Linked DNA regions of Ovis aries. Each later gene encodes a partner of the first gene's protein in a complex. Links are inferred from orthologs where the notes say so. Each region holds a gene or a part of one and is shown in the gene's direction. Other genes may lie near its edges.

What was found.
Region 2: ERC1 (region 1) and PPFIBP1 share a complex: the UniProt entries of both Homo sapiens proteins name them as parts of the cortical microtubule stabilization complex. The link is inferred for Ovis aries from reciprocal best matches to the Homo sapiens genes ERC1 and PPFIBP1.

Annotation. Positions count from the first base shown.
Region 1 is NC_056056.1:213,714,667-213,718,186, forward strand, and holds part of ERC1 (ELKS/Rab6-interacting/CAST family member 1), read left to right. Parts: intron 1-1,593; coding exon 1,594-1,734; intron 1,735-2,648; coding exon 2,649-2,789; intron 2,790-3,520. UniProt on the Homo sapiens protein: Regulatory subunit of the IKK complex. Probably recruits IkappaBalpha/NFKBIA to the complex. May be involved in the organization of the cytomatrix at the nerve terminals active zone (CAZ) which regulates neurotransmitter release.
Region 2 is NC_056056.1:187,715,172-187,718,691, reverse strand, and holds part of PPFIBP1 (liprin-beta-1), read left to right. Parts: intron 1-134; coding exon 135-323; intron 324-1,529; coding exon 1,530-1,709; intron 1,710-2,415; coding exon 2,416-2,694; 3' UTR 2,695-3,520. UniProt on the Homo sapiens protein: May regulate the disassembly of focal adhesions. Did not bind receptor-like tyrosine phosphatases type 2A.

The DNA of each region.
Region 1 (3,520 bases):
GAGAAGAGCTGCCCGTACTGCTGAGAGTAGAGGGAAAGAAGATTCATTTTATTGGTGGTAGTTTAAGCATCTGTTGTTGGGCAGGGTGGAGTCCATGCTGGAGGGCAGGGGCTAAAGTTTCTAGAGAATCAGCCATGTGCTGCCTGTTGACTGTCTGCTGAAGACAAACTTTTTTTATTTGAATAATATTTTAATTAATTATAGGATTGGAGTATAATTGCTTTACAGTGTTTTATTAGTTTCTGCTGTGCAACAAAGTGAGCTAAATGTATACGTATACGCCCCCCGACTTGAGCCTCCTCGCACGCTGCCGTCCCCACTCCCCACCCGCCCCGCTGGCTCAGCACAGAGCCAAGCTGAGCCCTGTGCTGTGTGGCAGCTCCCCGCTGGCTGTCTGCGGTACGCGGGTAGTGTGTGTGTCAGTGCTGCTCTCTCAGAAACGCCCCTTGTGATTGTATGATCAGCTGGCGTTGGTCAGGCGGGCATGTCAGACCCTGACCATTGAGAGGCATCGTTAGTCCTCTCACTGTGCCGTGCTGGGACCTCTTGTCTTCACAGGCTTTAGTTTTTAATACAGTGTACTTGCTGTTTTTCAAGTTGTGGCCTTGCCATTTCATTGGTGGCTCAGAGGTTAAAGCGTCTGCCTCCAATGCAGGAAACCCGGGTTTGATCCCTGGGTCGGGAAGACACCCTGGAGAAGGAAATGGCAGCCCACTCCAGTATTCTTGCCTGGAGAATCCCATGGACAGAGGAGCTTGGTAGGCTACAGTCCATGGGGTCACAAAGAGTTGGACACGACTGAGTAACTTCACTTTCGTGAGCAAACCTAGTTTTTTCAGGTATGATTGAGTAAATAAAGAAGTAGTCCAGTGTGACAAGTGTTAATGTCTTGGAAAAGGTTTAAAGACTCTTGGTGGGGCATTTTAATTGGAATTTTTTTTTAAATTTAAGGAATACAGTTACTGTTCCTTAAGCCTCTTGGATGCAGAATGCTTCAAGCTGCCTGCCCAGGGATCATGGCTTGATCCCCAAATCTATTCAGAAATAATACCCAGAAATATACTTAAATTGCTTCAGCTTTCAAACTTCCTGAGTATCTGTTGACAGAAGTTTTAATGGTTTCTTTTTTCTTTATCTTTCTTGATGCTTAAGCTCAACAAATCATAATCTCTCCAACCTCTTCCTCTTTGGTGTGGGAATTGTTTCCATTGCTTTGTAGCAACATGTGAATTATATATAAGAGAAGAAATATTTGGTACTTATGGTCCTTAGGGCATATATACATGTTAAGTTTTTTGTTACTTGGGAATTGAATAAACAAGATTATTCGAAAGAATACTTTAGTGGTATCTAATACTAATTAAGAATACTGGGAAAGAAACCTAAGGGAATCAAAAGAACAAAGCCAGATGTGTGTTACAGCAAGATAGGCAGAAAGGATGGATTCTTTAAAAAGTAAATTATTAATGACCTATCACTGTCTTCTTTAAGTGGAGGATGGAAGTGTGAAACTGCATGAGCTCACAACTGAATTGTAGTCATGAAGTAGAAGTAGAAAGGAATTTTCTATGCACTGATGTCCTCTCTTAACAGGAGCGGACGATTGAACGCTTAAAGGAGCAGCGCGACCGAGATGAGCGGGAAAAGCAGGAGGAAATTGACAACTACAAGAAAGACCTTAAAGACCTGAAGGAGAAAGTCAGCGTGCTGCAGGGCGACCTCTCAGAGAAGGAGGTCGGCATCCCCCCAGGGGAGTGCGTGATCTGCTTAGTCAGCACACTGTGTGCATGCTGCTGGTGTGGACATAACGCATGCTGGAAAGGGTCTCGTGGGAGGTTTACAGAATCTGCTTAGAGCCATCGCTGTTTCAGGAAGCTTAGATGGAATGATTCATTTCCTAAGCCTTACCTCCTACCTCTTCCAGCTATCAGGAGTTGGTTTCTTACTTGTTAATGACACTTTGTAGATTCCAAAATAAGAGTACTTCTCCAGGTACATTTGGAGAAATGTCGTGCCATTGGTAAGAAAGGTGACAGATGGAGGGAATATGCACTAGGAGGAGTCTGTTTACAGCCACTCTTAGGCATCACCTCAACACCAGCAGGGAAACCTTACACGACTCTTGACCAGATAGGTGCCTTCATATATTTCCATCTCACTTCCGGAGAACCTCGTGTATGCCGCCTGAACAGCAGAAGTGCCTAATGCCTCATGATCAGATGGTCATGAGCTTTAGGGACATTCTCAGAGTTTTCTTTTTAATACCTTTAGGGAGAATAGAAATGTATAGAAATTGAAGTTTCTAATAGAATATTCCTTCTAAAAGAGAAACATGAGCGTGGCCACTAAGGTCGACTGCTTATATCCACAGAGCTTGACCTTCTTCCATTTATTTTGTGAGGATGGATATGTATTGCTAGAACTCCTTAAGTCACGATTCAGTCGGCCTTTCTTGGGGATTCATTTTGTTCGGTTAGGACTTGAAAGCCAGAGGTAATGCTGCTGTTTTATATTTTGTGTTCTTGGAAATATGTCAGTCTATGGTAATGGAGAGAAACTAGAAACCACCAGGAAAATAAATTTAAGAAGTTCAGTCTCCATTTGGTTACTAAATAGTGTTTATTCTAGATATGCGTTGCTTCTTTTAGGCTTCACTCTTGGATCTGAAAGAACATGCCTCGTCCCTGGCTTCCTCAGGACTGAAAAAGGACTCACGGCTTAAGACTCTAGAAATTGCTTTGGAGCAGAAGAAGGAGGAGTGTCTGAAGATGGAATCACAGTTGAAAAAGGTTAAAGAATATTTATCCATTTTCTTGCTCTGCTTTCAGATAAGAACAAGCAGAAAACTTTATAATATTTGGATGGAATAACTTACTAATGGAGTAATAATACTATTTATACCTTGATTAATTCTTTCAGCATTAATATCTTTACTCCTTATGAGTCCTCAAACTCTTAGAAAATTAGTAATTCAGAGTAAGATTCAAATATGCAGCTCCTTTATAGAGAAAGAAATGTAAAAGACCACAGTGTAAAAATATCTCAGTTGATATTTTTCTCCCATTAGCTTTAGGCTTCCTGGAAAGAGATAATTTTACAGTGATAATCACCCATATGGTGAATATTAGAATATGGTAGGGATACTTACTATTCGTTTCACTGATTTATTCCTCTGTAATATTTATACGGCCATTTGTAGTTTTCAAAGCACTTGCATATTTATTATCTCTGAGTTATCAACTCTGATTAACTGGGTCCACTTCATATGATTACTGATGAAAGGGGGGTCAAGCCTGGTGTTGACACTTTGGGTGGTGTTCTATTTCCATAATCCACCTGCAATGTGGGAGACCTGGGTTCAATCCCTGGGTTGGGAAGATCCCCTGGAGGAGAAAATGGCAACCCACTACAGTATTCTTGCCTGGAGAATCCCATGGACAGAGGAGTCTGGCAGGCTGCAGTCCATGGGGTTGCAAAGAGTTGGACACAACTGAGCGACTTTCACTCACTCATTCTTTCC
Region 2 (3,520 bases), about 26 Mb from region 1:
CAGTTTGTCTGTCCTCACCAGGCTGTCAAGAGAGTCATTGGAGATAACTAAAGGAAAGAGCTTTGCAGGCTATAAGGCACAATCCAAGCATGTGTGATCCATGGTGCCTTCAACAATCCTAATTTTTCCTGTAGGTTCTAGAACCTCGTTTTAACGTAGAAACGATGGCTCAGTTACTGAACATCCCACCAAGTAAGACCCTGTTGCGAAGACATCTGGCCACTCACTTCAACCTTCTGATCGGTGCAGAGGCCCAGCACCAGAAGCGGGACGCCATGGAGTTACCAGATTATGTGCTTCTAACCGCGACCGCCAAAGTGAAGGTTGGTTCAAGCTCCCACCATTTTATAATTGCCTATAGCAAAGACTCAGTCTTGGCTCTTACCTGGCTATCCCATTTTCTTAGGTTTTCTAAGTTTTGTGAATGGGTTGAAGGTAAATGATTCTTCAAGAGTAGTTAGGAAAATGGATTTTTGAAGGCTTCCTTCTGGAGGGATCTTTGCTCAAATCACTTATTTTATTAGAGTAAACAGGAGTAAAGAATATGATGTTGGCATCTACCACTGATTTTTTTGCCAATGCGGAAAGTCCATGTCTTGGGTCCAATATTGATTGCTGTTATCCTGTGGATAAATCAAGCATAAGAGGAGGATTTTTTTTTCTCATAAATAACCAGACTTGCAAGTTAGGAAAGGATACTCAAGCAGTGATTCAAGGTAGACCAGCACAGAGTAGAAATCTTCAGATTTACCTGGATTCATGGATCATACCAAGTTCAGATCACTTTTTATTTTTTAAATCACTCTTCTGTGAACTCTTCTGAGTCTGTTATATCAATTAAATTAATGTGAAGATTGGGTTTATCAGTTCCTCCACAAACATGGCTCCTCCATGAACCCCTTTTAAAAGAAAAGAAAAAAAAAAAACACTCCCCCTACCCACTCAATACTTTCTCTTTAGCTCCCCTTCTCCCTTAAAAAAAAAAAGTGTCAGATTTGAAACCTCTGAAAGAGTCTGTTCTATATAAATTCTCAACATCAGCATCTCCTTGAAATACAGTCTCAGGTGCTATCCAGTGAAAAGATGGACTTTTTTCTTCTCTTAAAGTTTTCTCTCTGAAAATGAGGGCTTCTTTTGGCAGTTACTGGTATGGATAATCATAGTCTCACTCAAAAAGAAAATACAGTAACGGCTCTTTCCTCTTTTTGACCTTGGAAAATTGGATTCAGCCCTGAGAAATCTCATTGCATTAAGGTCAGTCACAATTAAGGCTCTTTGCTTTTCACAGTGACTACCCAGCTAGTGATGTGAATAAGGAGAACAAGCTTAATTTTCTGAGATTCATAATGAGGATCATTTATCATATTTGGGTGTTAATCATATGCTTGAGATGTCTTTGTTTTCCTTATACCCACTCAGTCATCAAATTGCATTTCTTGGTGGTGTGAATACTTAAATTATATGTGTTACTGGTCCTCTGTCATGTGAATTTTATCAAGTCCCTGGCTGTTCTTGTTTTTCTTTTAAAGCCAAAGAAGCTTACCTTCAGCAATTTTGGGAACCTGAGAAAGAAGAAACAGGAAGATGGGGAGGAATATGTTTGTCCGATGGAGTTGGGACAGGCATCAGGAGGGACATCTAAGAAAGGATTTAAGCCTGGTTTGGATGTACGCCTGTATGATGAGGATGACCTGGACCGATTAGAGCAGGTAAACCTAACACCATAGGCCTGTTTCAAAGTTCTTTCACTATTAAAACACTACGTTAAAACTTTGTGTGCTGTCTACTAACTAAAGATGTTTTCCTCAAATACCTAATAATAAAGATAATAGTAAGATAATAGCAAGCACTTACAGATTGTTTGCTATATCCCAGGTACTATCCTAAGCACATTACATGTATTAATGTTCAGGGTATCCTAAAACATAGGGAGCATTGTTATTCCCATTTTAGAGATAAGGAAACTGAAGCACAGAATGGTTTAGTAACTTCAGACAGAAGAGCTGGTAGAATTGCTGGGATGCCAAGCTGGCTTCAAAGCTTGTACTATTTACCTGTGTTATGCCTATCTCAGTATTAAGGAAATCTACATACTAAAACAAGTCAGGAATGGACACCTCTTACTCCTTAGCCTTTTCAGTATCAGGTCACGCATCTGAGTATTGCTTTCAAATGAATATTCTTTGGTGCCATTGTCAACATCAGAGCTTTGGGCTCAATGTGCCAGCAAAGTGTTTTTCTTCTTGTTTTTAATGTCCAGTTACAGTCGTAGGAGGAGATGGCTTCGGAAGTATTCTGTTGCTCCCACCCCATTCAGTGCCACTTGCGTTGTTTCTTCTTAGACTTGTGTTCATTTTGCTGCATTTTTCTTGAAATTGTGCAAATGAATGTCATGTCGTGGTGTGTTCATTGCAGATGGAAGACTCAGAAGGGACAGTGAGACAGATAGGTGCATTCTCTGAGGGCATCAACAACCTAACTGTAAGTTGTAAAATGAATTTCAAATGTTCTAAGAATAAGCTTGACAGTCACCCCAAGGGGGACTGCCTGTATAGTGGAGAGCTCAAGGTGCCTGGTGTGTGTGACTCCCACCTCCTTGTCTTCCAGCACATGTTAAAGGAAGATGACATGTTTAAAGATTTTGCTGCCCGTTCCCCCAGTGCCAGCATCACCGATGAAGACTCGAACGTCTGACCATAGCACCTGGATGAGAGCTGGGAGCCCTTCATCTTTGTTCCACTTTATTCCTCAGACACTCACAGTATCTACAGCAAGCCACAGACTGTGTATTGTTTATCATTCCCACTTCTCATGTGGAAGTGGAGATGGAAAGCAGGGACTAGGTGCTGATTCTAAAGTTGCCATGACAATTGAGACACTGGTGAATGAGAGTATAATTGTTTCTCCTCTATTTAATGTAAAAAAAAAATCTGTGATATATTATATTTAAAGTGTTGCATTTAATATGAGTATTTTACCATAGTCTTTCCATCCACATTCACAGCATGGAGGATTTGGGAAGCAGTGACCAGTATGTGAATGATTTTTGTCACGTCGATGTGATAGCACTGCGGCCCTTGAAGCAGGATGTTACATGCTTTTGAAATCAAATTGTGGAATTTCTTAGGCATTCAGTGTGCCCACTATATGCCAGCCACACCTCCACTTGCCTCTTATTGTCCTATTTTTATATATTTTTCTAAAATATATGTATATACTTAGTACATAGAAAATAGAACTTTTATTTTGTAACATAAGGAAGATGGTAAAAAGATCACGTGAAAAAAATACAATGATCAAAATTTTTGTATACCAGCTGTTTCTTGGAGAGGTCCAATGATCTTTCTTTCCCACAAACTGAATTCTAATGATGCTGATCATTCAGACTAAATTAACATATGTGAAATATCCCTTCTTTGATGACACCCCACAAAATTATTGAACAGCTTTTTAGAATTTCAGCCTTAGTCTTGGATCCTCTTAACTCATAAGGAAGAACCTGAGGGACATTTTAAGTGCT